4 linked regions of the Schizosaccharomyces pombe genome follow. Changing the gene in region 1 together with any one later gene gives a genetic interaction. Each region holds a gene or a part of one and is shown on either strand. Other genes may lie near its edges.

Region 1 (8,826 bases):
TTTGAACAATACATTTCTAGTCCTTGGTTGACTCGTGAGGATAAGAAAATATTGGTTAGTTCTTTGACGCAGATGACTGGAAATGAACCCCTTTTGAAGAATTTCTACAATGTTTTGTTAGACAATCATCGTCTTTATCTCTTAACTCGTATTCAGAAACAATTCTCTACTTTGATGCGCGCTAAAAGAGGAGAAATTGAAGTTAAAATTACTTCAGCTACTCCTCTAGATTCGAAGATCCTTTCTCGTCTCGAATCTCGGATAGCTAAATCGAAATATGGCAAGGGTAAATTACTGGTTAGCAATAAAGTTACTCCTTCTATCATCGGTGGACTAATTGTTGAAATTGGTGATAATATTCTTGATGTCAGTGTTGGTTCTCGTCTCAACAATTTGAACAAGCTCTTAAGTGGTAGGTTTTTTTATTATTTTTTAATATTTTTTCATGATTCAATTTTAATTTTTTTTACATGCTAACCATTTATAGAACCTATTTAAGGCTGTTTTAATGCAACAGCGTATCCTTCGCCAAAACCCAATCTTTATTCTCTTCTCATTCTAAACAGGCTTGAATTTCCTCTTATTCGTATTTCTCTTTCTTTGATAGGTTTTAATGAGCCATAGTACGTATTACATAGTCAATTGAAACTATGGTCATCATGTTTGCCTTACCTCCTCAATATTTCAGTTTCATTTATGTATGCTGTTATCAACTTTATGAATGCTATTTTTTCATCATCGAATAGTAGATCTTTGAAAACTTAGTTCCTGGTTATGGAAAAGGTGTGATTAAAGCCACAAATGTACTAACACTAATTTTCTTATCGTATCTCAAAGCTTGGAGTGATCCAGTACTTAAAACTTTAAACCATTCCATACTTAACCCGTTCAGTTTAGAGAAGTTGTACTTGATGGTATTGATTTTCAATCTCATCTGCATAACATAGATTGAGATTTATGAATAAACGTGTTGAATTGAAACCTGGGATATTCTATAAAAAGTTAACATCAGTTACTGTTGTTTATTAGTCAAGAGCTTCAAACCTTTTCGGTTCAATGACACATTCCGACAAGCAATTTTTAGACAAGAACGTCGCCAAGCCTAAGTGAATCCCATTGTCCGACGCCTATTAATTAAAACGATTCAGCTTGCGAATTGACGTCAGGTCTTGAATTCTTCCAATTTCTCCTTTTTGTAAGCGGTATATATCGTAATTAACTGCTGCTTTCAAATTACTAGGCTTCTTTTTGCAGCTAATGTTTTAAGAAATTCTCTAGAATAATTGGAGGTCATGAGTATAATATTATTACTACTTTTTGTTTTTGAGTCTATTTTATTAAAATCATTTTTGTAAGAAAACGGATACGAAATACCACGGCGTAAGGACGCGTTAAACGAGGTGATGAGATACGTGTATTGTGTGTGTAGCAAACAAATGGTAACAATTCCCATTTGGCAAGATGGATCCGATTTTGCAAGAATTAGTAGATGAGTGGTTCAAATTAGATCAAGTAAGTATTAGGACTATATTTACTATGGAAGTACTGTGGAACTAACAGATTGAACGCATTAGGATGAAACTACGAGGAATGAAGTTTCACAATTGATTAAGGCTGAAGATTATGCCACCCTCAAGCAAATTATGCATCCAAGGATTGGATTTGGTACATCTGGTATGTTTTTATTACAAAAGAAGAAAAAATTGAGATTGTTAAGAGATATTTCGCAAGTTGAAGTGGATTGAAAGAGAACGCTAAATAATGCCTCTTTCTTAATAAAGAATTCTCAGTGCTACAGCCGGTAGCTTAAACTACTTTATTGTGTTTTCCTTGATTAGAGTCGAAGTGATATACTTGATCATCGGTCACTTTCCTTACTGCGTATACTAATTTATTGTGATGATCATATTGGTCATATTTCAGAAAGAGTTTTTCGTTCTTCTTCTTCTTTTCTATCTGTTTTGGTCTTTTTTGCTTGGAATGTTATATAACGTGCTTGTACGAAATTGGTTTAAGTGTAATTAGATTTTCAGCTTGCGATTGTTCTCTCTATACATCTTAATGTTTTAACATTATCAAGTTCGTTTATTCATTTACTAATGTTTACAAAGGTTTGAGAGCTGAAATTGGTGCTGGCTTCGCTCGCATGAACTGTTTGACCGTGATTCAAGCCTCACAAGGCTTCGCTGAGTATTTGCTTCAAACCGTACCATCAGCTGCAAAGCTGGGTGTGGTAATTGGACACGATCATAGGCATAAGTCTAATACTTTTGCTCGACTTACTGCTGCAGTGTTCTTGCAAAAAGGATTCAAAACGTATTTCTTCGATCATCTTGTCCATACCCCTTTAGTCCCTTTTGCCGTTAAAACCCTAGGGACTGCAGCTGGTGTTATGATTACTGCTTCCCATAATCCCGCAGCTTATAACGGATACAAGGTCTATTGGGGAAACGGTTGTGCTATCATTCCTCCCCATGACAAGGGAATTGCTGCATGTATAGAAAAAAACTTAACGCCCATTACTTGGGACAAAAATTTGGTTGAAAATCATAAACTAGCAGATCGGGATTTTGCAGTTGGTCTTTTAAAAAACTATTGGTCTCAGCTCCACGAATTCCATTCCGAAAACAACTTTTCCTTGGAAATGAAATCTTTGAAATTTGTTTACACTCCTATTCATGGCGTTGGATTACCATTTGTTACTTCAGCATTACACTTATTTGGCGAACAAGGCGATATGATTTCTGTACCTCTTCAAGATTCTCCAAACCCTGACTTTCCGACTGTGAAATTTCCAAATCCAGAAGAGGAGGGGGCATTGGATTTGGCTTACGAGCAAGCTGATGCTAATGGTATTTCGTATGTCCTTGCAACTGATCCTGACGCAGATCGTTTCGCCTTTGCAGAAAAAATTAATGGTGCTTGGAGAAGATTTACCGGAGATGAAGTTGGTTGTATCCTTGCCTATTTTATATTTCAAGAATACAAAAACGTTGGAAAGCCAATTGATGATTTTTACGTTTTGTCAACTACTGTCTCTAGTGCTATGGTAAAGTCCATGGCCAAAGTAGAAGGATTCCATCATGTTGAAACACTTACTGGATTTAAGTGGTTAGGCAATAAAGCATTAGAATTGGAAAAACAAGGGAAATTTATTGGATTGGCATATGAAGAAGCTCTTGGTTATATGGTAGGTAGTATAGTTAGAGACAAAGACGGGGTTAATGCTTTGATTACGTTCCTTCATCTTTTGAAACGCCTTCAACTTCAGAATCTTTCAATTACCGAGGTTTTTGAGCAAATGTCTAAAAAATATGGTTATTACACTACGCAAAACTCATATTTCCTTTCACGCGACACTCCCAAGCTTCGTGCTTTGGTTGATGCCTTGAGACATTATGACACAAAATCGGGTTATCCGGCAACCCTTGGTAGTAAGAAAATTACAAATGTTCGCGACCTTACTACAGGTTACGACTCAAGCTCCACGGATGGTAAAGCTACTTTACCAGTTTCAAAAAGTTCAGATAACGTAACGTTTGAGCTTGAAAATGGAGAGGTAATTATGACTATTCGCACAAGTGGTACAGAGCCGAAACTTAAGTTTTATATCTGTGCTCGCGGACATTCGCTTGAAGATTCCATAAAGAATGCTACAGAAGTTAAACAGGCTATCAAATCTGAATGGTTTCATCCCCAACAGAACGGACTGGAAGAGCCATGAGTTTTCTCGCGTGTATAATTTTAATTTGAGCTCGTTTTTTAAGCAAAATTATAAATTGCAAACAAAAATATTTCAATAAAGTATTAGATATGATTTCCTGAGTTGTTGTGATTTAAATTTTATCCTTAATTGAAAATTCCTTAAATATCTGATGGAACTACAAAAATATAGAACTTCAATGATCAAGTAATGTTTAGTGTACTATAAAACCATGGCAAGATTCATGTCTAAAGGATGACTACAACTTAATTGGGGCAGTTGTGAGTATTTGTTGGAAAGTACTTGTCGAATACCTCTCAGCAACTGCAAGTAGCTAAGTTGGGGATTTTGAGTGACGACTTCACGGAAGGCGTATGATAAAGCACCAGTAGCGAATCCATTAACACTTGTATCTGCGCTTGTTTGATTATCTTTGCATCCGGATAAAGAAATAACATCAGCAGGAGAAAACTTAACTTGTCTAGAGTACTGTAGAGCGTTGTTATTAAATCCATTGGTAGCACTGGTAAATATATTTTTCACGTTGTTGATAGCTCCCATAATGTCGCCAGAGGCATAAGAAAGGCCAGCATGAAGTACATCCATACCAGATTCTTTTAACATATTTGGCTCCTTTAGAACGCCCTTGGTAGAGTACGTGAAAGGAAGATCGAGAGCTCCACCTGAATGACAAGCTATATTTTGTTAAAAATAGATTAAAATCACTGACTTACAGTCAAAGAGAGCTGTTAAACGACATCCTGCTGGTAAAGGCTTAACCATTATTTCGTGCATTTCATCATCTATAATTTGCCCGGCATATTGATGGTCCAGTGGATATATCGTTTCATCATAACCATCAACTTCGTCTCCATCAAGGTCTTTTGTTTGCCCTCCGTGGCCCTATGCATGTGAGTATGAGATGTAAAGTGATGATTCTTACACTATAGTGAAAAAATAATGCATCCTAAATAGTTAGCATTAGGAAGTAAATCCCATGACATATAACTTACATTAGGTTGGGCATCACTTACTAACCATCTCATCGCATCTAACATATTTTGACGAGTGGGAATTGCCCTTTGGTTGCTTGCCGTGTCTGTCATAATAACTAAAAAAGTTTTAGCAAGATGTTCTCGTAATCAACCATACCCATATCTTCTTGCTTGTAACCGTAGCGCTGTATCAGCAGTTGGGACATAGACATGACATCTTAAACAAGTTAATATATGTTTACTTGACCTTTCGCATTCCGTACCATTAATGCAACCTTGCAACTCATTTTGGGTATTGAGATAGTTAATTCCGATCAGCAAAGCCTTTCGCTTCCCTTGGCAAGTTGAATACTGATACTGAAAGTTTCCTCCTCCTGCTAAGTTATAAGATTGAGTCTGAGTGTTTGGCAGCTGAGGCCCACTATAATTTGGGTTGCCATAAGAATTAGCACCAGTATTCGGAGGCGGACCTGAGGGTGGGGCATAAGCATGGGAGTTTGCAGAGCTCAAACTTATATGACCAACATTCTCCATAGGGATTTGATTAGAATTGCCGTCTGTCTGAGGCCTTGTGGAAGGGGGTGGCATACGTGGAGGCTGATATTGATGTACAGTGTTATTACTTTGAGAACCATTATTTGGTGAATAATTAGGTCTAGTATATGTATTATATGGTGGATATTGCCCACCGTTATAAGGATTGGAGTTGTAGCTCATGTTGATGGGAAGTTGGATAGTGCTTAACTATGCTACTTTCAATAAAATACCAGATCTCACAGGTTATAACTAAAGCAAAATCAATTTGACTACAGTATATACATTTAAAAAAAAAATTAATTGCAAAAGATGCGAGCAATATATTATAATCATACCACACATCAAAACGTATTATACACGAAAGAGCTGCTACACGAAGAAATAATTTAATACGATGAAAAATCAAGTAATGTATAAAGCAATAAGTGAAAACCTAGCCGGCATAGTCTAAAAAGAGTGAAACAAAATCCGAAGATTGTTGATGGATTAAATAAAAACCTAACCTAACCTAAACTAACTAAAGCATTTTGAGGAACCAAAGAAAATATTGAAAGACTTAGAGTGAAAGAAATGAAATTTAAAAATGTGCAGACAAAGCTCTCTGATTATCGACACTCAAAGTGGCAATGACAGAATTAACTTGATCAGCAGGGAAACGAGCTAAGTAAACCTTCGAAGCTTCCATCAAACGTGTCAAAGTTCTTCCACGTAAAACTCCAGATGCAAATGTTTCTGCTAAAATCGTAATAATCGTTGGCATTTGTGAGGCAACGGCCACGTGATTTTGTTCCATCAATTCCGCAAGGAAAGTGTAAGCATAAGGAGCGTCATCTTCATCATGTGTTACAGGAAGTGTATTAATCCAATACGTTACAACTTTGTCAAGATCCTGAACACGTTGGCTACAAAAGCGGCAAATTTTGCATATCGCAACACAAATATTTTCTGTGGCATAAATTTGTTCTTCATCACGGGCATCAGGAAGCTCGAGCATCTTAAACAATGCGGGCAAAGCACTAGAGCAGATTTCAGCATACAACTCTCCTCCATGCTGAGCGGCTACTCCAATACCGTACGAGGCAGCTTGTCGAATTTCTGGTTCGCTACTTTGAATACCTTCAGCTAAGTAAGGCAAAAAGTGATCCTTGTAGTTCCAAGAATCGGGTCCAGTAAATTCAATTAAGTCATCCATCATGCATAGAGCCCATTGCTTAGCTACAGTGTCGTTTCCAGACAAAAAGCCATCCATGTACGGTAGTAGCCTTTCCCAAAAAGGGCAGAAAGCAGTTTTGTGAATTTTTAATACAACACTAAAAGTCTTGTTTATTTCGTTTAACAAGTTTTGATCATTTTCGACTGCAAGAATCATGTCCTCATCTTCTTCAATATCTATGTCACCATTTTTAGCCTCCTCCTCACGCTGCTGCACGCGAGAAATGAATCCTTTGAGCTGCAAATCAACGGCAGCAACGAGTGCTTCCATCGAAGAAGGACTCAGATTCAAGCCGCTGATTTCCAAACTTTGATAGAAACATTCAAAATAGTCGGCAAGCATTTCCACGCTTGGTTCATTTTGTATATGATCCAACAGCTTTCGTAAAATAGGCTCCCAAAGCTCATTGACTTTAGCTGGATCACGATTGCTAGCTAAAATCCGAGCGTTCAATAACTGAGGAATACACTTACAACAAGCAGAACGAACCCCGTCGTGAAAGAAGAACTTCAATCCTGGAAGTACAACAGATGTCAAAACTTCATTGACGTAAGGATCAAAGTCAGCTTTTAACTCAGCAGCATAGCAGACAAGCATTTCGGTGGCAGTACACTTGTCTTCTAACGTACTAGTCCTAATACCAACCTGTTGACCATGAACGGGAATGAACTCCCAACCATCTTGTTCAGAATATTTGCTTTCATCAACCTCGTCGTCTATAATTGTGAAGTCAGGTTTCGAGGTAGCAGCAACCAACAGAGGAGGCATAACTGAACTCAAAAATGGGACAAAATCGCTTCCTAAAACACGGCAAATTCTTCCCCAGGCAGAGATGAGATAACTAGCTTGAGGATCATCACTGTCAGTAATACCCATTTGAATGTTACCTAAAATTTGGATTAATTCCTGAGATACAGGAAGGAATCGTTGTTTACCAACAGCTAAGGCAATTAAAGTAGCACATTCCATAGTTTTACCGCGAAGGGTTCTAAACTCCTTGCCGTCAGCTTGTTGCAGAACATTAAACAATAACGGCATGATGGCATCAAAATATTTTTCAAATTTTTTAGCTGCAGCGTCAGCAACTGTAGCTATAGTGGTAACGGCTTGTTCCTGCACATATCGCTTAGGGCTTTGTAACAAGGTAAGAAGGCGTTGAAGGATATCATCCAAGTAAGGTTCGAGAACCTTGTTGTCGGCCTCTTCAGAGAAATTAACCATTGCAGCAGCAGCATGAGCTTGAACACGGGATTCTGGAGACTCCAAAACAGGTACCAATGCCTCGAGGATGCGAGAAGGATACTTGACTTGCATGTCAGGAGCAAAATCTGTAGACATTTGGCCTACAGCATTGCATGCAGCCCATCGAACACGGGGGTGAGGGTCAGCTAACAAAGGAAGTACCATATCTAATACACGACTAAGCTCTTTTTTCATTAATTTTTCAGCACCTTCGGCAATTGATGAGATGGCCATAAGGGCAGCATGACGTTCAGACCATTTTTGAGACGGGATCAATCTAGGAAGCCACGTGAAAGAGGGAGGAAGAATTGTTTTTCCGCCCAACTTTCTAGAAAGTCTATCCATGGCTTGTTCCGCGACAACATGGTTAGCATCACTTTCATCCTGATCCAAATCGTCCGTGTTCAACCATTCTTGAAGTTCTTCTGCCTCATCCTCAGGATCGCCAGCGACATCGGTCATTAGCAAGAGACATTGAAGTACAAGTTGATCAGTGTAGTCGGAAGATTTCCTACACATAGCAGGGGCACCCTCCGAAAAACAAACAAGCAATTCAAGAGCAGCTTGGCGAGCGGAATTATCCAGCTCCTTGTCCTTAATGATACCAAGACCAAATGCGATGACGCTCTCAAAAATAGGTTTGAATAACTTTGGGAAAACTTCGGCGATTTCAGTGATGGCCATAAGACAGTCCGCCAAATTATCAGAATCACGATCTTGTTGCAGAGGGGGAAGGATGTTCATGAGGCTAGGTAAAAGAGGAATAACCTGATCTCGAGTGGATTGTTTGCTCTCAAGAATAACGGCAGAATAGGCACGAGCGGCAGATATTCTTACACGGATACTAGGATCAGCTAAACCGGTGGTAAAGAGAGGAGTAACAGCACTATCTTGACCTGACAATAAACGAGGTAAAGAAGTGATGGTACGGAAAACTGATTCACGAAAAGACTCATCAGGAGAGTTAACAGCATTGAAGATAACGTTAATGAGTTCTGGCCATTCGCCTTGACAATCATAGATAGATCGAGCAATCTCGGCGATTGTGTCACAAAGCTTATTACGAACAGTGGGAACTGACTCCTTAACAAAGCAAGCTAGAAGTTGACTTTGCAAAGACTGTTTGGACTCATTTG
Region 2 (7,844 bases), on another chromosome or scaffold:
TTATTCCGACGACCTCTTTGTTACTATATAATATTATGATTAGGAATTTTTTAGCGATATATCAATAAAATGGTTTAGCGAGATATACAAGCACTTTTCACTTTTAGCTTAAGCTTCATTGTGGCTTTTGCTCGTTTTACATCATGTCAGGTTACAGGAGGTAACGACCTGCATTGATACCTTGAGCATGTAGGAAACTGAATATCCAACAAAGAAAGAGCATAATAGCTACAGTCTTGAGCCCACCCCTTTAATATCAAATTATAACGTGTAAAATGGTATGAATAACTTTTTTAATTAATCAAAAGCATTCTTTTGTATGAAAATACTAATTATGATTCATAGACTGGTGTTCATGAAGGGACTGTGTTGGTTACTGGCGGCGCTGGTTATATAGGTTCTCATACGGTACGTAGAGAGCTTGAAGATACAGAAGAGGATTAGTAATGTACATGTAAATGTTTTAAGCACGCATCTTTTGTGAATATAGCTTGCTGCTCTTTACTTTTATACAATTTCGTCCATATTCTATAAAGCTCTTTTTTGAGATATTTTGCTAACCACAATCTGCAATAGTGCGTTGTTTTGTTAGAAAAAGGATATGATGTTGTAATTGTCGATAATTTATGCAATTCTCGCGTTGAAGCCGTGCACCGCATTGAAAAACTCACTGGGAAAAAAGTCATATTCCACCAGGTGGATTTGCTTGATGAGCCAGCTTTGGACAAGGTCTTCGCAAATCAAAACATATCTGCTGTCATTCATTTTGCTGGTCTCAAAGCAGTTGGTGAATCTGTACAGGTTCCTTTGAGTTATTACAAAAATAACATTTCCGGTACCATTAATTTAATAGAGTGCATGAAGAAGTATAATGTACGTGACTTCGTCTTTTCTTCATCTGCTACCGTGTATGGCGATCCTACTAGACCTGGTGGTACCATTCCTATTCCAGAGTCATGCCCTCGTGAAGGTACAAGCCCATATGGTCGCACAAAGCTTTTCATTGAAAATATCATTGAGGATGAGACCAAGGTGAACAAATCGCTTAATGCAGCTTTATTACGCTATTTTAATCCCGGAGGTGCTCATCCCTCTGGTGAACTCGGTGAAGATCCTCTTGGCATCCCTAATAACTTGCTTCCTTATATCGCGCAAGTTGCTGTAGGAAGATTGGATCATTTGAATGTATTTGGCGACGATTATCCCACATCTGACGGTACTCCAATTCGTGACTACATTCACGTATGCGATTTGGCAGAGGCTCATGTTGCTGCTCTCGATTACCTGCGCCAACATTTTGTTAGTTGCCGCCCTTGGAATTTGGGATCAGGAACTGGTAGTACTGTTTTTCAGGTGCTCAATGCGTTTTCGAAAGCTGTTGGAAGAGATCTTCCTTATAAGGTCACCCCTAGAAGAGCAGGGGACGTTGTTAACCTAACCGCCAACCCCACTCGCGCTAACGAGGAGTTAAAATGGAAAACCAGTCGTAGCATTTATGAAATTTGCGTTGACACTTGGAGATGGCAACAGAAGTATCCCTATGGCTTTGACCTGACCCATACCAAGACATATAAGTAAACCATACTCTTCCTTTTCGGATTAAGTGGGTTTTAAATAATTTCCTTCTCTTTCTTGATTCAAATTTGCATAATATGTTTTAGGACTTATGGATTCAAAGACATTATAATGTATTGTTTGATGAACCCTTTTCCCTTTCCTGTACCTTAATTGTTTATTGTAAGTGCGCTCGAGCTATCGATTAGGTCGCTAATAATACCGGTTTGCGAATAACTTATGTTTTAAAAGGGATTTAACAATGAAGCTTATTTCAAAACAATCACTTTCGGTTTACATTTTTATTTCTTTCTTTTGCATACGCATTTTCGTCAAGTTGACATTTTTTCTAATATTGAAGTTTCTTTATATTTCACCTTTTAATTGTATTTTTTTATTCAAAGGTTCTACTTTGTCAATCATTTTCAATTCCTATTTCGATATAGCTTAGATTTTACAATAATACTTGTTATAATACTGTCTATAACTTTTACGTTAGCCGAAGATTAGAAGTCAAGCACCGTATTGAAATCAAAATTATTAATAATGAGTAAGTGAATATATACCAAGGTTGAATGTTTTTTAACTTTTTAAATAGACAGTTATGAGATTTGCACTTCATGACATGCTAGATTAGCGTTTTTTTTCAAATGAATTTAAATTATTCGCAGCTGTTCAATGAATGTAATCGTATAATTAAATCTTAAATCTTTAAACAGCTGTGTGTTTGATTGAATCCACATTCGTCCTCATGTACTCATAGCTAGGTGAAATATATTAGGCTTTCAGTGATTCGGGATTCCAAACTACACTTAATACCCCCAACATCAAAAATTACGAAAATACGATTAAGCAAATAATATTTAAGTGGATATAATGACCAGCAAAATGGAAAATAATAAAGATGAAAGCATTTCTACCAAAAATGCGTTAGAAGAAAAATCGAACGAAACAAAAGACGAAACTTCAAAGCGAAAGCACGATCCGGCAGAAGAAGAATCAGCGGTTTCCACTAAAGTCTCGAAGAGTGAACCGCTGGAAGATAAAGGGAATGCTGAAGTTAAGGAATTTAAAGAGACTACGAAGAGCAATGGCGTAAAACCGGAGGTTGAGATTACTGAGTCTACTAAAATCCAAAAGGAATCAAACACGGAGCCATGTATCTCAACTGGAGGTAAGGTAGAAGAAAAAGAATTGAAGGTGAATAAGGATGTTGATGAAAATGAGGGACACGTAGCTGTAGAGACAGGCAAAAAAGAATCGGCTGCTAAGCCTGCCGCGAGTGTTTCTCCCTTTTCACAATTTGCTTCATTCTCTAATGCCTCGTCTCCATTCTCCAATGTTTCAACCGCCTCCTCTGAACCAAAAGAAGAGAAATCAGCATTTGGTGCTTTCGCTTCTTCAAAGTCAGCGTTCACAATGAAGAGCGTTAAGGATAGCCCATTTAAAAAGTTTGCTGCAGGAACAGCAGTTGAAACAGAAAGTGGTTCTGGCAAAGAAAAAGAAAATGATAAAAAGAGTTCAGAGAACTTTGACGAGTTACTTGCGAATACGTCAGCCAAAGCATTCGAGAATCAGAAAGGTTCAGCTGGTGAAACCAAATCGGAACCTAAGGAGGCTGACAAGGGTAGTGGAGACTCAACAAAGTCTACTATGCATCAGTTGAGTGATTCAGAAATCATCACTGGGGAGGAAGAGGAGGAATCAATATTCAGTGTTCGCGCAAGACTTTATGTTGTTGCTGATGAAAAAAAGACTTGGAAGGAACGTGGGCAGGGAATTTTGAAAGTAAATGTTCCCAAGCAAAGGGGATCAGGCTCAGGCCGCCTTTTGATGAGAAATGATGCCGTGCATCGAGTTATAATGAACGTGCCTCTTTTCCAAGGCATGTCGAAAAAGTCATTACAAATTGCATCAGCATCTAGTGGTGGTTCTGCTAATTACTTAAAGATCTTCGTTATTGAAAATGGAAAATCTGTGTTATATGCTGTTCGTGTCAAAGATAACAGTTTGGCAGAACAACTACGCAATCACGTTTTGGAAGCCATTCCTAAGGGTGGAAGAGAAGATGCATGAGCGAGATAGAAGATCCACTCGTAAAATAGTAAGTACTTTTCGATTCTTTTTTAGCTCTTCACTATGGTTCTTATTCATTCGAAAGTCCAAAAATATTATATCTATATGCAAAATATGTCACGCTATAGGACGGGTTAAAGTTATACATGATTTAAATGAGCCGATCCTATTGACTTTTAATAATTGATTTTCCGGGTCAGTCTATTTCTATACACTCGTCTTATCATTGGGAGGCATACCTCTATAACTACAGTTTTTCAAAATTACTAACAATGTGTACATCACAGTACGTATTTTATTTCCTCCATTTTTACCTAATTTAATCTTCATATTGCTCAGTACGCCATCTTGAAGGAGCAGAGAGTAGTAAGTTTTGCGATCGTTTGTCCTTTCAAAATTGTGATTTTATCCACCATACAACCAGATCATCGCACTTCGAGATTTTTATCTCTCTATGTATATTTTTTTCATTTTCAAATCATGAACTATGGCCGATTGCTGCTAGCATCAATGTGATTTTACACAGCAAATACATCTAGCAGCACTCTAACATATAATCAAAATTTAAGATTGCTATAATACTTTAAATACGATATCAATCACCAAATATAATTTTATTCAAGAGTATCTTAAGTCAGATTGTGCGCTATCGTTAATTTCCTTTAATCCCTAGTTACTGATAGTTAAACTCATGATGTATTGTCTCCCCTTCAATTCGTTCTAACGACGTTTCTTAGGACTTCTAACTAACGAACCTTTCCTCATTAATTTCGAGGGAGTTTACGTCAGTTAGATTATCTGATGCAATGCCTTTTTTTAGCGTATATATAACATGCTATTGCCTCTGGGAATTCCTCGCTTTCCAAGTAAGCTACCTATAGTAATTACTAAATTTTCTCTGTTTCTTTTTTAACTTGGAGGTTATTGTCTCTATAATCCTTGATTAGGATTGTTTTGTTTCTTCACTTGTGCTCTTTGTATTCCATTTTAGGTAAAACTTTGGTCTAATACATACTGTGGTAGTATTTAGAACTCTGGTTTATTTGAAATTTGTGTTAAATAGGATTCTTTAAAGTGGGTTATTTTCATCTTCCGACATACCTTTCTCATTATCCCTTAGTTTAGTGATTCAAAGTTCAACTTACCGTTTAGTAGGGTTTACTTTTTTAGTTCCCTCAATTTTATTTCAAGAGGAATAATTTATATTTTTTATTTTCCTTCTTATCTATCTTCTTTTTGTGATATTTATTTATTTTGATTTGTAAAAATGCGTTCTCGATCAGTGGCATCTTTAGGCGTCTTGCTTGCCATCGTCTTTTATATCTTTACGTATGGGTTCTCTACCTATCGAAAAAACGACACCTCCGCTGTAAAGACTTGGTTAGAGGAGCACTCAATCCCATATGGATCAAGAAGCTCTCCTTCTGACTTTCAGCAATTTATCTCCGAATCTTATGATTCCTTGGTCCCTAACCTTGACAAATGGAGCGGCCATAATTTAAATTCTTGGTTGGGAAAAAAAACCGAATCTTCATATCTTGATGCTATAAGCAACAAAATTCGTAAGACGGGTCGTAAACTTAGTGGCTCTGTCGAGGATGCTCGGGATGCCACTCAAGAAGCCTGGGAGTCACAAAAGGCTTCGCTTTTCGAATCTTGGTCTGATTCACAATTGCGAGCCTTTTTAGCTAGACACAGTCCCCAATTTGCTGCTAAAGAGAAGAAAGGCATTCTGGAGAAGTTGAGTCCTGCTTCACTTCGCGAAACAGCTGCAAAGGAATATGATGCCCTCACTTCTAAATTAGGCAATACTGGAGATTGGATTTATGATACCTGGTCCGATAACGAATTGCGCACCTGGCTGCATGATGTAGGTGTTCCCATTTCTTCCCATGAAAGTACTCGTTCTCACTTGCTTAGAAAGCTGAAGAACTATATTTCTACTAAAGCTGACGAAGCCCAACCTTCTGTTGAAGCTGTAAAGGGCAAGGCTTCCGAGAAGGCAAAGCAAGCTGGAGAATTTGTTTCTGACAAAGCTGGCGATGCTAAAGAATTGGTTAACGAGAAATCTAGTGAAGCTGGTCAATATGCAGGACAAAAGATGGAAGAAGGTGGTGAACTTCTACAAGAAATTTCGAAAAGAAGGGGCAGATTTGGTAATTGGTGGGCCAATTCTGGACTAAAAGCATATTTTGACGCTCATGGTATTCCTGCTTATCAACCATCTCCAATTGATCAATTTTACGCTCACCTTCGTCGTCAGTATTACTTAAAAACAAACGGTTATCAGGCTCTAAAGTCAAAGGCCTATGAGGAAGCTTCCAACGTGGCTGACTCTGCTTCTTCTATTGCCTCTAATGTTGCAAGTGGTGCTACAGAAGCCTATCAAGGCGCTGCTTCTGGAGCCTCTCGTTTTACAGAGGGTGCGAAAACCGCCGCAGAATCGGTAACATCTGCATTTGAACATAATAAGGATACTGCCACTTCAAAAGCCAAGCAAATGAAAGGTAAGGCTGCCAGCCTTGGCTCTACTGCCTCAGAGAAGGTAGGCGAAGCTGCTGACTATGCTGCTGAAACCGCTAGTAAGGTTGCCAGTAAGGCGGCATCTAAAGTACGTGAAACAATAGATGAGACCATCATCGAGCGCTGGCAAGACTCTAAATTGAAGGAATTTTTGTTCCTTCGTGGAGTTCCGGTTCCTCAGCGTTCTACTAAGGATCAATTACTGGACCTTGTTCGTAAGCATTTCAATAAAGGCGCTGTTCCTAATTGGGCTGCTTATTTTGATACTTTGAGCTCCAAAGAGCTTTCTGCCTGGATTAAGGAATACAAAAAACATTACCATGGAAAACTTCACCCATCCAAAGATCGTGAACATCTTTTCCAAAATGCCTGTAATATTTATCGCGCTATTGCTGAAAAGGCTGACAAATCTGTTCTTCAATCGATTCAATCAAAGTTTCCTAAGGCAACTGTTCCCGGTTATGACTCTTGGTCTAATGAAGATCTAAAGTCTGCACTCAAGGAATATGGTGACAGTATTGGTAAGGTGTTTAATCGTAAAGATGCTATTGAACGCTTAAAGCGTCATGATATTTTATTCTATGGTCCTGTTGTTGCCGACAAGGCTAAATCAGGAGTCTCTGGCTTCCTTCGACGTGTTGCTTCTTTTATGGGATTTGGCACTCGCGACGTAGCTGAAATTAAGCTAGGAGAAAACATTCAAAAGGTAAAAGATACTGCCTCTAAAGCCTCATCTGCTGTATCTTCAGCAGGCGACTATGTCGAAACTAATGTAAAGAAAGCCCAAAGGGTTTTGTAAATTGTTCATGAACGTTCTTAATGTCTATTTATATTATTTAAAAAGAAGGAGATTACGTCTAAAACGAGTTCTCGTTTAATATATGACTTTTAATGAAATATCTATGTTCATATTCGCTACTTAACCTTCCTTGGCAAGTAATCCATCCTATTGTTAACATTAATATAATCCATCAAGATACTTTTTTATTAATTTAAGTTTTTCAGAATTAGATGTTGGTGCACCTCCTCCAAATCTAGAGCTGTGGAAAGAATTGGTAAAATCTTATCGCGATGTTCGTGATTCTCTAAAAATTGCAGTAAAACATTTCTAGCATATTCTTTGTTAATCAATTCTTTAGAAATATTGCTTATAACAGGTGGCTCGAATGAACCTGCTGAATCACTTGAAGCTTTGGGCAATATTTCACTGCTCATAACACTGGACAGCTCGCTCTCGTGAGATTTGACACTTTCCTTTTGAACCTTTTGCTTTTCAATGAGTTCTTTTATTTCATCCCTTGACTCCACTAACTCGTTTCCAACATTCCTGAGCATATCTTGAAGATTTTCGTTTTCTTCCTTTAGTTTGCAGACCGTTTCATCAGATTTCTCTAATCTTTTTTTTATATCAAGGTGCTCTTGCTTCGTATTTAGAGCATCCCTGTTGTAGATTTCTGCCTTCTGTTCGGCTTCGTCGCGTTGAATTTGGATCCTACGAACCAAGTCACTCAAGGTTTTGTTTGCATTCTCCAACTCCTTTACCTTTTCATCTAGAGGTTTTTCTTTATCTTTTGAATCGATCGAGCCGGAGCGTTGTTCCTCTAAATCATTATTACCCACAAATTGTTCTGAAGGACCATTATTCTTCTTCTTTTTTCTGTTTTTACGCTTCTTTTTTGAAGCAGGCGGTT
Region 3 (7,081 bases), on another chromosome or scaffold:
GTGACCCAGTGCACTTTATATGATATCTTGACGATGATTTGATAAAGTTTAAGTATTCTTACCTTTCCCGAAACGGTTTTACCAAAATCCGTAATAGAATCGCGGAAATTTGTAGGATAATCGTATCCATCAACTTCTACGGTTTCAACAATAGGTAAAACAAGATTGTATGCTTCTTTCAAGCTATCAACTTGTTGTTCCAATTCCACATAATCCTCCGGAAGAGATAACTATTGAAAAAATGTTAATTCGTGTGCATTTTATTTTATCGTACTTCCTCGACTCTTGATCCAATTTTTGTACGCAAATAATGAGTGGTTTTCTAACATAAACTGTTAATAAGATATTCTTGTTTATCGGAATGAATAAATCAACTAAAACGATCACTTTAAAAATAAAATCACGGCTGCGGGTAATAAAAACGCAAATACTAACTGAAGATTTAAACAGCAATACAATATAACAAATGCATCTTACCTTAGCGAAGGGCGTGATTGAAGAAACTGTAGCATTAAACTGCCCAGTGATGTGAGTTTTGAAAGTCTCCATTGTTGTTGGCTCTAGGTAAAACAGAGATGTTATCGTATCCAACTCTACCAAAAATCAACGAGCACCATGATTTTAAATTACTTTGAGTTATACAAAATATAACTTACTGAAAACGTAGTACTATCATTTACACCTTTATATATCTTGTTTACCAATGTCGAATACATACATAAAAAACGCAAATACTTCTTCTTAGAGAAAATCCTACATTAAAACAGTTAAAAATAAAGAGAAGGAGATAGATCTAAAAATTCGACTAAATCAAGTAAATGTGGTTCATCAGATTAATCATTTTTGAAGTTGACATAATATAAAGTATTGAATTGATTTAGTTTCGTATGAGATAGTTTACCACATAAACCTTTGAAGAGCATTTGGCTCGGATGGCCATATAAATGTTCGAAATAAAAATATATACAAGGTGACAGAATTAATGACCATATGCAAAGCATATTCCATTAAACATTCCCTCCCCGACGGAAGAGGAAGATGAAAACGCCAGAAAAGGAAGGGTAAAAGGAAATACCGAAATTCTACTAAAGGTGCCGGTACCAATGTAAGGATTGTTGTTGAAATCAGTAAAAAGAACGTGAGCGAGGTCATTTGCAATTTGGATATATCCAAAAAAAAGTAGTATAAAATTAAATAAGAAAATGGGCCTAAATATTTTAACCACCAAATTCGAAAAAGTCTGTTGAAAACGTAAAATAAATAATGCCTGTTGTCTGCTAAAATAAATGGATGGAAAATTCTAAACGTTAGTTAAATTAAACAATACCAATTTAGCACGTACGTATTAAAATGCGCTATCAACAAAAGCACAGAAACGATCAAAAAAGATTTTTTAGAAAAGACTGCGGACAAAAGTTTGGAGCGTCGAGAATGGGACATTAGATATTTTATAATATAAGAGGGAAAAGAAAAGAAAAAGAAAAACCACAGAAAGTAATTTATTTGAGATAAATGAATGCTTGCTTGATGATGAGATTTGTCGCCTAAGACAATACTGCCATTCCAAAGCAAAAATGCAAGGAAGGAACAAAATACTGCACCATAGGATAGAATTGGGCACGAAAATCTTCTTAAATTTTTAAGAAAAACCCCTAAGAATGAAATTATAGTAAGAAGAACATCAGCAAAAGTTGCTTCAGCTAAGTGGGGATTGAAGAAAGACATATTGCTAGCAAAATATGTAACTGCAATAAAGACCATCCAAACGATATTTGTCTGTCGAAACCATAGAGAAAAAAAACAAGACACAGAGCTTGAAAAAGCAGACTTTCGGAGAGCAAAGTCATAAGCAAGAAGGACGAAAAAAGTACTACCAATATCAGTGTAGTATAAAAATGAGAAAAACCATAAAGGAGGTAATGACGATAACGTATAAGCGAAATAGGTAACAACATCTCCTTTCCTATTATTCAAAAGAGAAACGATATCGTTTATAAGCCATGGCAGTCCAATTACGCCTACAAGCCAGTTTATTAACCTCAGAGATACATTGCTGCAGCCTATAAATGGGCTGAGTGCGACTGAAACCAAGTATAAACCAGGAGGTGTAGTAATCGCCGGATCCCAATCCCAATCTTTTCTACAAAAGCGTTGAGCTTGTGCAATATGGAATATTTCATCCAAGTAAGGATTAGGAACATAGTATTGTATAGCTAGAAGACCTGTAAAAGCTAGAAAAATCCATAGTATTAGAATTATAGCTTTTCCAAGAAACATTGTCTGTGTTTTGGGTCTTTAATGAAAGTTTATAATAAACGAATAAAGAAAATCAGGTTTTGATAAAGGGCGCACCTTTTACAAACAGCTTTTTATGTTCGCTTGTTTTAGACCCTATAACACAATTTCCAAAACAAACGATCAACTTTTCGAAAGGTGTGAATTAAATTTCGCTGAGGTTGTTGGCAGGAAGTTTGGAATTCAAATGCTTACAATATAGCAAGAGTGGGAGAACAATGTTTTTACATCAAATTAATTGAATTTCATGATTTTATTATTAGTTATCTAGAGAAAGATAGCATTCTAAAAACCATTCAACATTATGCACACTTAAGTACGAAATGTGACGAGTCTGTTTTTTATATTTAGGCTGCTAATTGCATCATTTTTTTTTAAAAGAACTGATAACATTGAATTTCATTTAAATTTTAATACTTGATAAATTTCATAGTAATGTGGTCTAACATTATCATGTACATGAAGGCAATTAAGCGGTAATACTAACTAATTAATGAAATCTGCCTGAGGCTTTTTAACTTAATATTGGCACACAAAATTACTCGATATACTGATTACCACCAATATGAAACTAAACAATCGTCTTCCTATTGCTTGTAAGTGTAACATCTAACGTATTGTTTTTATAAAACTATTTAGACGTAGTGCTCTAAAACAAACACGATAATACATTATTAAGTAACGTATATAGAATACGCAGAGAAGCAGTTGTTATTAAAAATACTAATAACTTTCAATGTCACCGTTTAAAATTGTAAAATTGTTTTCTATAGCAATTCAAAATCTCTGAATGAGGAATATCAATGTTTTGGGTTCATGAAAGTGGTTTCATTACGCCGCATTTATAGTAGTGAGATATACAAATTGCCAACCACACGCCTTCACATGGATACCTTGTATTACTATTATTTCGTAAGCCATCTAGCTGCAGCATTATTTGTTGATTTACCTATAACTGAATGGCTTGGAGGCTCTTTAAGCTGTCTTTCTGGTTTGCGACGCTTTTATTTATCTACATATGAAGACCCTATTCTTTTAATCCCTGCGCCTTGGAAAACTGCATTGTTTTCTTCAGAACTTTTCTTTCAAGTTCCTTTTTTTATTTGGGTTTCTCTACGCTTACGAAAGAAAGCGAGGGATCCAGTTTTATGGGTTGCAATTCTCATATACGGGGTGCATGCTTTTACTACGACATGGTGCTGCATGTTCGAGTTATTTGCTGAAAAAAAATGGATGATAATGAGTTTTTATTTTCCTTATTTGGCCATTCCTTTATGGATGGCAATTGATATGGGTGGCCGATTAGTCAAGTCGTGTCATGCTGCCAAATCAGGTCCTTCCTCTACCATAACCTCAAAGAGTGATTAAGAAAACACAAAAATGAATAATTTAACACCAGAAAATATTCGTCAAACGATTTTAGCAACTCCTTTTCTATTAAATCGAATACGCACAGAGTTTCCTCAACTAGCTGCTGTCCTTAATGATCCCAATGCGTTTGCTACTACATGGCAGTCCATTAATGCTTCTCAATTATTGCAGATTCCTTCTTCTACATATTCGATGGGAATGCCTTCATTTTCTGTACGTTTAATTTCGCATAATAGCGCCCGTATAAACTGCTGAGTCCAATAATTTAGTTTTAATGGACACAATAAATAAAGGGCTTTCGAAGGTGATTTACTAACATTTTTGTAGGAAGATGACCTCTTTGATGTTGAAGTCCAACGACGTATTGAAGAGCAGATTCGTCAAAATGCCGTGACCGAGAATATGCAATCGGCAATAGAAAACCATCCTGAAGTGTTTGGTCAAGTTTATATGCTTTTTGTAAACGTTGAGATTAACGGTCATAAGGTGAAAGCATTTGTGGATTCTGGTGCTCAAGCTACCATTTTGTCTGCTGATTGCGCTGAAAAGTGCGGTCTTACCAGGCTTCTTGACACTAGATTTCAAGGTGTCGCTAAGGGCGTAGGAATGGCTAAAATATTAGGTTGTGTTCACAGTGCACCTTTAAAGATTGGCGATTTATATCTTCCATGTCGATTTACTGTTATTGAAGGTCGGGATGTTGATATGCTACTTGGTCTTGATATGTTACGCCGTTATCAAGCTTGTATAGATTTAGAAAATAACGTTCTTCGGATTCATGGAAAAGAAATTCCTTTTCTTGGAGAATCTGAAATTCCAAAATTGCTGGCTAATGTGGAGCCATCTGCAAATGCACACGGTTTAGGTATTGAACCTGCAAGTAAGGCGAGCGCTTCTTCACCTAATCCACAAAGTGGCACTCGTCTTGGTACCAAAGAAAGCGTAGCACCCAACAATGAGGGATCTTCCAATCCCCCTTCCTTGGTAAATCCTCCCACTGACCCCGGTTTGAACTCCAAAATTGCACAGCTAGTCAGTATGGGATTTGATCCATTAGAGGCTGCGCAGGCGTTAGACGCTGCGAATGGAGATTTAGATGTAGCTGCTTCTTTTCTCCTTTAACGACTTAATTCGATTTCGGGGAGATTGGATATACATAATCAATGATTTTAGTCATGATAAAAATTAGGGAAATGATTATTTTCAAGATCGGTCCTGTTCTACTATTGTAGACGAATTCTTTCAAATTAATGTGTTTTATATCATTTTTTATGTGTTTTGTATCAGAAAGTAAAAATTCTATATATATGCGTAATTGCTTAATCAAACTGAGTTTTATATTTCAAGATTAGTTTTTTCAAGTATTTGTTATTTTAATTTTACGTTCACAAAAAATGAATGTTATTTATTTTAATACTTAGAAACTTTTATGGTTTCATTGGTTTGACGTACGTAGGATGAAGTTTTCTTACAACCAAATTTAATCTTATTCCCTACTTCATGTTTAAAGTAGATTGGGACTTAGGTCCAGTAAGTAAAAGCGCATCAGACCAAACGAAAGAATCTAGAAAAGAAAAAAAAAGAAAGAAAGGTGAGAGAAAGAATGTAGGAGATAAAGGCGAAAAGCTCAACGAAAAAGTTTTAAAAAAGGCAAAGTCGGTTACCACAAACAATTCCCTGAAAAGCGAGATTAAAAAAGAAAAATCAGTCCCTTCTATTAAAGAGAAAAACAAGGGGGATGCTAAGCATACTAAGTTAACGTCTCTTCAACAAAAAATGAAAGATAAACTAGATGGTGCCAATTTTCGATGGATAAATGAACAATTGTACACTACGGAAAGTGACAAAGCTGTACAAATGTTCAAGGAAAATCCAGATTTGTTTGATATTTATCACGCTGGTTTTCGATATCAAGTTGAAGGTTGGCCGGAAAATCCTGTTGATATTTTCATTCAACATTTAAAGATCAGATTTGAGCATTCAAACGCAAAGAAGAAAAACAATATTGTAATTGCTGACCTCGGTTGCGGAGAAGCTAAAATAGCTTCTACATTTAGAAAATCACGTTCTTTGCAAGTGCACAGCTTTGACCTTGTTGCTCCCAATGAACATGTGGTAGCCTGTGATATTGCGAATGTTCCAATGGCTGACGAAACTGTCGATATTGCTGTATTTTGTTTAAGTCTTATGGGCACCAATTGGCAATCTTTTTTGAAAGAAGCTTATCGTATTCTTAAAGTCGGTGGTTTACTTTGGGTTGCTGAAATCAAAAGCAGATTCTCTGATAAGAGTGGAGAAGTTTTTGCTAAAGAACTTCCAAAATTAGGCTTTGAAACTAAGTCCATTCAGCTTCAAAACAAAATGTTTACTCTGTTTGAGTTCAAAAAAGTACCTGTACACGGGAAATGTGAAGAACTCCCTCCCATATTAAGTGCTTGCATTTACAAAAGAAGATAAACAAGGTATTGTTTAGGAAAGAACTGGTCTTTCGGTATAAGAAGGTTTGGGGCTCTTGTATAATAGGTTTTGTTTTAAATTTTGGGATAATATAATATTAAACGTTTACTCTTTGTCAATCGGAAGACGGACTAACGGAAGAACGATAGGTTTATCAATATCGCATGAGAAAATAGGTTATATATTTCAGAAATAACTGTTTCGTTAGAGCTGTGAATATTCGCAAAAGCAAGCAAGAGTCACAGGCTGTGTCTAATCGTTGATAATGAAAAATATAGCTATACCAAAGACCCAAATGCTACATTCTAATTGATGGAGTAATCTATTGGCTGGCTTGTCATATCAAATCATTCATCATTTATTTTGATAGTGCATGGGTTAGACTTTGAGTAATTATTAGATTTTTTTTTAGAATATTAACTTGTGCTATATTAGCATCCTATATTTGATATGTACCTCTAACTTGTAAGTCAAAATTCACATTGAAACAAAAAGCAAAATTCGTTTATTTTTGAAGACAACATTACGAGTATCTTGTGAATCGATAAAACATTTGAATTTAATCCATCGCGGTCAAAGAATAGAAAGAATTTTCCATCCAGTATATTAGTAATTATTAATTATAGGTAGCTCCAGCAACTTATTCATGTAGCACACATATTTAGTTGCCTTAAAGGATGAAACAATGACCAAATGCTTCATTTTTTTTAGCGCTTACAAACTTACAAAGTCAATTTTTTAAAATTGCGTGAACTCTTCTTTCGCGAAGCGAAGGCTGGAGACTACAAATGATATTCATTGAGCACGAACACGACTTTGGTTTAAAAAATGGTACATGAAAATTATTACCAGAATGGGAAATGAGTAGCGTACTAAAACATTTGTTTGTCAACAATACTTGAATTAAGTAACGTTGTGAGTACTTTAAAACGCATTTAAATTGCAGCTATGAATTTTG
Region 4 (7,327 bases), on another chromosome or scaffold:
GGGATCTGTGTAAATAGCCAGTAATCCAGTAACATCGCAATATTTCGGTTGAGGGAGGACACTAGGCGGTGCTTCTATCGATGAGTAAGAAAATTTGCTTGGTTCATTTTGTACTGGGTCATTTTGAATAATTTGTCGTAGATTCCGATTTCGCCTAGGTTGTGCTTTATAATTGGGATTTCGAAATGGCCTTGCAAGTAAACTGATGTCTAAACTATCGACAGAACTGTTTTTTTCCATGAAACTGATAATCTTGATGATTTGGCTATGGCAAATTGAAAGCCGCACTTCTTCTATGTATCGTTGTATCCTTGACTACCATTACTAAAGGTTCGTCTGATGTCGTTAATTCAGCTCAAGCCATTAGTGAACGAGTATTAACACGCCCTCCTTAATTCTAAACTCATTAGCTGCTAAATTGTAAATACACATATTACGTGAAAGCAAATAAATTTGATGAATAAATAATTCAATATTTTGTATTTTGAAGTTTTGAACGCGTTTAGAAATGTAGACTTTTACCAATAATACCATGTTGTCTGTCCATTTTTCTCTAAATAAACTAACGAATTCATAAATAAGATGAGATTTTAAGTTGCAGCTTAACATTTGTCAACGAGCTTGCATAATTGTACAAATGCATTACTTTCCAACACAGAATTTTGAGAAAATGACAGAGAAAACGTTTTCCATGTCGACTGCCCCAGTTACTCGACCTATGTCTTCGGTAGCTAGCTTCACCTCTTCGGCAGCAACTACGATGTCTGAGCTTTTTTGCAGGGCCAAAGAAAGATGGCTGGAACAACTTGATAAACATTGACGCTGACGTTCATTCCAACCCAAATTTGCTTGAATTTTATTATTAGTAAGAGGGTTGACCATACACTCGAAAGTAGAGGAAAGAGCTTGCAAGAAATCAATAAGTCCTTCTTTTGTTTTGCAAGAAACTGCATGTATTCTATTTTCAGGAATCAAAAAATTTTTCTGAAGATAAGCTTTAATGGGCTTAAACATAGTTGTGTAATCCGAAACGCAGTCGACTTTGTTTATTAGAAAATGAATAGGTTTTCTTTGACGAAGGCAATCTTTAATGGTTTCCAAAATTTCTGACTGTTTTAAAGATTCGGAAAAAGAATGGTAGTTTATGGGAAAAACAAAAAGTGTTAACTGGGATTCTTCCGCCCTGGCTTTCGCAATTTCAATACCAATTTTCTCAATTTCCTGAACGTCTTCTCCTTTTCTGAGTCCTGCTGTATCAGAAAGCAATACTGGAAATCCATTTATATCTACTAGTACTTCGATAGCATCTCTTGTCGTTCCAGATTGAGGACTTACAATTGATATTCTGCGGTTAGCTAGTAAATTAATTAAACTCGACTTCCCAGCATTGGAAGGCCCAAGAATAGCCACATTAATACCTTTCCTCAGAACTTCTTTACATTTTCCTCCCTCTATATGAGCGTCTATTTCATCTTTCATTTCATTCAATTCCTCAAACAACTTGATCGTTTCAATATCGTCCAGTTCATGTTCTTCTGAAAAATCAATTGACGCTTCCAAAAAAGCACGATATTCGATAAGCTTTTTTCTCCATCGAAAACAAATATCATAAATGGAGCCATGTGCTTCTTTATTTGCACTGTAAAGTTGTTCGGCTGTCTGCGCATTGATAACGTCTATTAATCCTTCCAGTTGCGTCAAATCTGCACGACCGTTATAAAATGCTCTTTCGGAAAATTCTCCTGGCTTAGCATAGCGAATATTCGGAATTCCTGACTGCTTTATGGCTTCAAGTGTTACATCCACCACAGCTGTCCCTCCATGTAATTGCAATTCAACAACATCTTCACCTGTAAAAGATGAAGGCTTTTTAAAATATAACATCAATGCTTTGTCAATGACTTCAGAACGCACTGGGTGTTTGATCGTCCTCAGGGACGCTATACGAGGTTTTGGCACACTTCCTGCGAGTGTTTTTGCTACCTAATATTAGTTGTTAGTAAATGATCGGTTTGTTCTAGATTTATAGACATTTGCCTTACCTTGCATGCATTTGGGCCAGAAATACGAACAATTGCAACAGCAGATGTACCGGGAGGAGTTGATAATGCATATATAGTAGGAATTTGATGAACGAATCTTCTAAAGCATGCTTGAAAAGTATTTAAAAAGACTCGATTTAATATTCGCATGCTTTTTTATCTTCCAACATTAGTTTAACAGTAGTAAATTGATTAATTATCTCAAACAAGACTGAAGATTTGACGTTATTAGTTGCTTTGGTAGTTAACTTCAAAATTAAGCAGTAAGCTTCTTAGCTTATTGCAAAATTATACATACGGAAGCAATTATCTAATCAATCAATCAACAGTTTAAAAATCAAGTATAAATGATCGTAAATTGCAATTGAAGAATTTTTAGGAGATTAGCAAGCCAATATAGTTAATGAAAAGTATCAATGGTTATTAATAAATCATCGAAACTAAAGAAGGATTAATCCCAAAAACGAACGCTACACCAAACAACTAAACAACTGTAATTTAATGTTGGATATCTGCAGTCTACTTGATCCATGCATTTGCACAACATTACTTACAATTTTTCCCGTTAATAATATTTACCGCATTCTCTTAAAATTCGTTATATGGTTGATTCTTGAATTTGTTAATTGGATTTTCTTTACCAAGCGCCATACTCGAAAATGCAGCAAGACGAGGTGATTTGGCAGGTTGTAGGTCATGAATTTTGTTCATATAGGATCAAGTAAGTTGATTTCGCACTTTTAGTATTACATTATAACCTAACACAATTTTTAGAGGGGAGGCACAAAATTTTTGCAGAAATGAATACAATGTCACTGGGTTGTGCAATAGACAATCATGTCCATTGGCTAACTCCAGATATGCCACAGTACGGGAGGATAATGGAAAGCTGTATCTTTACATGAAAACTATAGAACGTGCGCATTTTCCATCGAAACTTTGGCAACGGATAAAGTTATCAAAAAATTACGCTAAAGCGTTGGAGCAAATTGATCAACAGTTATTGTATTGGCCTGGTCGTCAAATCCACCGCTGTAAGCAAAGACTAACCCGCCTCACTCAGTACCTATTGAAGGCTAGACGATTGGCATTAAAACACCAACCAGCATTAATTCCCATTAAGCCTAAACAAGCGCATCGTGAAGCTTCTCGTGAAAGAAAAGCACTTATTGCCGCCAAATTAGAGAAAAATATTGAAAAAGAATTGGTTAAGCGACTTAAAAGTGGTGTTTATGGTGATCAACCTTTGAATGTTAATGAAGAAATATGGAACAAGGTACTAGCCGCACGTGAGGGTTTAATTGATGAAGGCGAGGAAGAGGAGGAACGAGAAGAAGCTGAATTAGAATTTGTTAGTGATGATGAAGATGAAGAAGAAATCTCTGATTTGGAAGATTGGCTCGGCTCAGATCAGTCCATGGAAACTTCAGAGTCTGAAGAGGAGGAAAGCTCAGAGTCTGAATCCGATGAGGATGAGGATGAGGATAACAAAGGAAAAATCAGGAAACGTAAGACCGACGATGCAAAGAAATCCAGGAAGAAGCGCGCTCCTCATATTCATATTGAGTATGAGCAAGAACGTGAAAATGAAAAAATACCTGCTGTTCAACATTCTTGGTAAAAAAAAAAAAAAGGTTTTGAATGTTATCTTTTTTTAAGGGATTCTGTTCAATAGTTTTTACTTTGTCGTTTTTATTTTGGATTATTTAGGTGTATAGATATGAATGGTTTTAATAATAAGGAATTTATCGGAGCTTTTACAAACAAAATTAGCTTTAATGTATCCTTGCTTTATTTTATTACTTGTGGCATAAAAGCGTTAGATATAAATAATGCTATACTTTCGGGAAACTGAACAAATTGACTGGAAATTTAAGTATTAAAAAGTGAAGATTTTTAGTTTAGCGGGTTTCAAGATGTTGAATCCTGGATCGTAGAACAGCAATTTGTTCACGCAGTCGCTGATTTTCATCCATTATAAGTTTCATTTGAGTTTCAACATCCAAGTGGTTTGTTGATACAATATTTGATATATTTGGCATTGAGACTTGGTTAGGTAATAATAGTCCACAATTGAGAACTTCCAGAAGTGATGGTCGCTTCGTGGGGTCTTTGGCTGTCATCCATAAAATTAAACTTGACTCACAAATATGTTGCTCAACGAACTCTTCAGGAAGATTTCCTCGACGAAGGTCTTGAAGTTTTGTTGCACGTTCCATATTTGTTTGAAACGGGTGCAACAGCTCAAACAAAACCATTCCTAATGAGAATGTATCGATTTTTTTTGTAAATTTATTATGCTGAGAAGACATAGCATCTAGCAATTCCGGAGCCGCGTAAGTTGCAGTGCCTATATGCTGAGTCTCATCTTGCAGATTAGGCAAGTGGTTTCGTTCAAGAAAAGAAAGTGCGGTTTCTGTGTTTTTTTTATTTTCAACAACGAGTCCAAAATCACCAATCTTAGGAGTAATGTATTCTTTCAAATCGTTTTTATCATTATAACTAATTAAAGGAACAGACCCACGGTCCTCCGGTAAAGATTTAGCAAGAAATATATTGCTGGGTTTGATATCTCGATGGATCAAGTTCACACCTTCATGTACGTACATAACGCCATTAATTATCATTCGGAATAAATCCGTATGCAGTTGTATTTGTTCCTTACATAGTGGGAATGAAAGAAAATGGTTTCTTCTTATTAGATAGGACTCTAGATCATCAAAGCAAAGCTGCATTTGAATATAAATAATAAAAGAATGAGTGGGTCCAGTTTTAGATATGTGCATGCTACTAGAATAGTCGTCATCCAAGATGGTGGTATTATTAAAAGTAGAAACATTAGAGTCATGAAGATTACGAGGGCTTTCTAAATTCTCAAAGTTAGAAGATTCAGTAGTGCTTGAGTAGCTAGATTTTCTGGAAGTTGAAATGATCGACTCGGTGCCAGGATCTTCTGCAAATAGTATATCGTCTGTAAGGGCAGAAGATTCTGTTGGTTCAAAAATTATGGAGTCCATTCCGTTGACATCACAATAGCTTGAGGTTCCAAGTACTCTACTAGAATTTTTAGACATTACTATCGGCATTTGTGTTGCTTCTGTGGTGCTTTCTACCCAGCTCGAAAAGTATCGACTAAGCCGATGTTAGAAATAATAAAAGGAAGGCGATGAAAACAAGTCCTTCTGATGATGCTTACATAACATTTGGATGATCCATTTTTGCTAGACATTTGATTTCTCTAAATATTTTGGAATAAGACATTTGCTGAAATGTTGAATTAATTTTCTTCATTGCGTATTCAGCACCGTCAATCTTATTTCGTACGTGATATACTGATCCAAATCCACCTCTTCCTAGTAAAGAATACTCCTCAAAGTCCTCTATGTAACGAGAGTTTCTTGACTGTAACCAACTCTCAAGCGTAAGATCACGGAATCGGAACTGTCTTACATTTAATCCATCTACAGAGAATTTCGAAAGAGCAGTTTCTTGTGGAAATTTTTCAAATACATTGGTGGGATCGGGTAGTGCTAAAAGTCGCTCTTCAGCATCGTCGAGACGGATTGCCTCACGCGCTTGCAGAATCAAATGGTGTAAAGCATCCTGATAATTGGATCTAACGGCTGCAAGTTCTTCAATATATTCTTCTTCCAAAATACCTATTTTTTGAAGAGTATGGCAAATTAAAGCAAAAAGTCGTTTGGACTTGGCAGGATTATTGTCATACAGTTCTTTAATAAGTAAGCAAGTAGTTCACATGAAACGAGAGCTTAGACATACGACAAAAATTTTCCAACAAAGCAGTTAAAAGCATCCGCCCTAATAAATACATTAGCTTAGGTTGTCAATGACCAATATTTTTAGTTCGTCAACTGCTTTATACACACAGTTGTAATTAATTCCTACCATGTTTATTGACAGACAAATCCCTTGATTGTCTTTCATTTTTTAAACTTATTGCATTTGTTGTCTCTGAGTAATTCCCATCTTCCGCTGACTTGTGAGCGTTGAAAAATCGCATATTTGTGATGATGGAAGTGAAAAAGGCATTAAGAAAACAACCAGTTTTTTTCTGCACTTATCAAAATATTTGTCAAAATCCCGTTAATCGCAACCAGCTAATCTCGTATCTTACAATGGAAGGTTAGAGAATTGTTAATGGAAACTTTGTGGTTGACTTTTCAGATCATGAAAGTAACATTAGGAGAATTTAACTCTACAGCTAAAATACATGGTTTCTACTGACTATGGTCGTGTTAACGATAAGTATGTATTTGTACTGTTAAAAATTCAGATAAGTAATTATAATCAGTCTTCTTTTTTGAACTTCTTCATTCGTGAAAAAGCAAGTCAATTTTTAAATTAGCATCGTAAACAGTAAGCCAAAGATACATTTATAATCTAAATCAAAGCAAAAAGAATCCAGCTCGAAACTGAATTTATAAAACCAATTTGTTTAAAGAATTGATATATTTTATTACCAGATAAATGTTGTGGACAGAAATCATTTGAATTATTAATTCATTCATTAGTTTTACCTCAAGATAGTAAGAAGGAAAATTGAAGAGAACGAGCACTTCAAGCTAACTATTAAATTTAATTACATTAGCCAGCATGATGTGAGGAAAAAACATTTTGATTTGACACAATTTAATTTATCATTTCACATTCATAAACAATTCTTTAATTTTTATATTAAATTATACTAAGTAGTAAAGAGCACATGGAATCCGTTGTGGTCCAACGGCTAGGATTCGTCGCTTTCACCGACGCGGTCGGGGTTCGACTCCCCGCAACGGAGTTTTTTATTTTTTCTTAATTTTGATTTTTGATTTATCACTTACTGAATAATTCCAGTGTACTAAAATTTAATCTTCGGTTAAATTTTCTATGGAATGTGTATCTATATTACCCAAAATAATGCGCATTTTTTATAAACATTTGATTAACTGATAATGTATTCAAACTATATGCTTTTAGCAATGGAAATGACAGCAACTTATGCAGCGCAAATGAACCTAGAAAAGATTGAAAGCAAATAACAATTAACACTTAAAATCTAAAAAATTAATCTAAAAGGATTTATTATTTAAAACTTAATGACTGACTAAAATAATAAGTGAGGCATTTACCTGTCTCAACTCTTTTTGTGGGATTATACAACATGCAACTATAGGCATGAATTTAAAAAACTAATCCTTTTTCTCCTTTAAAGGTAAAACACGCTCTTTTACCCACCATTCATGCCATCTATTATCGGCGGTCAGCTCGGGGTGAAACGATGT

Evidence for each region.
Region 2: mutations in pca1 (region 1) and ish1 together harm fitness less than expected from each alone (positive genetic interaction), as found in Schizosaccharomyces pombe (one large-scale study listed by BioGRID).
Region 3: mutations in pca1 (region 1) and alg10 together harm fitness more than expected from each alone (negative genetic interaction), as found in Schizosaccharomyces pombe (one large-scale study listed by BioGRID).
Region 4: mutations in pca1 (region 1) and mss1 together harm fitness more than expected from each alone (negative genetic interaction), as found in Schizosaccharomyces pombe (one large-scale study listed by BioGRID).

What each region holds. Positions count from the first base shown.
Region 1 is NC_003421.2:2,260,556-2,269,381, reverse strand, and holds pca1 (metacaspase Pca1), read right to left. Parts: upstream 5,416-8,826; coding exon 4,962-5,415; exon of another isoform or gene 4,916-4,961; coding exon 4,856-4,915; exon of another isoform or gene 4,815-4,855; coding exon 4,717-4,814; exon of another isoform or gene 4,690-4,716; intron 4,671-4,689; coding exon 4,647-4,670; intron 4,607-4,646; coding exon 4,438-4,606; intron 4,399-4,437; coding exon 3,926-4,398; 3' UTR 3,725-3,925; coding exon of another isoform or gene 2,112-3,724; 3' UTR 2,077-2,111; downstream 1-2,076. Other genes in the region: F0-ATPase delta subunit atp5, read left to right, coding at 1-412, 488-498; pgm2 (phosphoglucomutase), read left to right, coding at 1,462-1,512, 1,575-1,674, 2,112-3,724; karyopherin/importin beta family nuclear import signal receptor Sal3, read right to left, coding at 5,813-8,826. UniProt on the Schizosaccharomyces pombe protein: Involved in cell death (apoptosis).
Region 2 is NC_003423.3:2,515,357-2,523,200, reverse strand, and holds ish1 (nuclear envelope Ish domain protein Ish1), read left to right. Parts: upstream 1-4,487; 5' UTR 4,488-4,897; coding exon 4,898-6,952; 3' UTR 6,953-7,076; downstream 7,077-7,844. Other genes in the region: UDP-glucose 4-epimerase Uge1, read left to right, coding at 276-278, 346-408, 577-1,578; Ran GTPase-binding protein Hba1, read left to right, coding at 2,431-3,630; Golgi GRIP domain protein Grp2, read right to left, coding at 7,141-7,844. UniProt on the Schizosaccharomyces pombe protein: Has a role in maintaining cell viability during stationary phase induced by stress response. Activated by the spc1 MAPK pathway.
Region 3 is NC_003424.3:1,135,455-1,142,535, forward strand, and holds alg10 (dolichyl-phosphate-glucose--glycolipid alpha-glucosyltransferase Alg10), read right to left. Parts: upstream 2,465-7,081; 5' UTR 2,278-2,464; coding exon 1,343-2,277; intron 1,301-1,342; coding exon 898-1,300; 3' UTR 742-897; downstream 1-741. Other genes in the region: mug64 (BAR domain-containing protein), read right to left, coding at 63-230, 275-322, 478-549; protein ema19, read left to right, coding at 3,112-3,663; UBA domain protein Mud1, read left to right, coding at 3,676-3,879, 3,994-4,788; rRNA methyltransferase Rrp8, read left to right, coding at 5,167-6,123.
Region 4 is NC_003424.3:950,412-957,738, forward strand, and holds mss1 (GTPase mss1), read right to left. Parts: upstream 2,557-7,327; 5' UTR 2,193-2,556; coding exon 2,043-2,192; exon of another isoform or gene 1,984-2,042; coding exon 643-1,983; 3' UTR 501-642; downstream 1-500. Other genes in the region: Ino80 complex subunit Ies6, read right to left, coding at 1-240; nuclear HMG-like acidic protein Mak16, read left to right, coding at 2,702-2,763, 2,817-3,663; eIF2 alpha kinase Hri2, read right to left, coding at 3,944-5,174, 5,239-5,773, 5,823-5,861, 5,949-6,063; sno1 (glutamine aminotransferase subunit), read right to left, coding at 7,235-7,327. UniProt on the Schizosaccharomyces pombe protein: GTPase involved in the 5-carboxymethylaminomethyl modification (mnm(5)s(2)U34) of the wobble uridine base in mitochondrial tRNAs.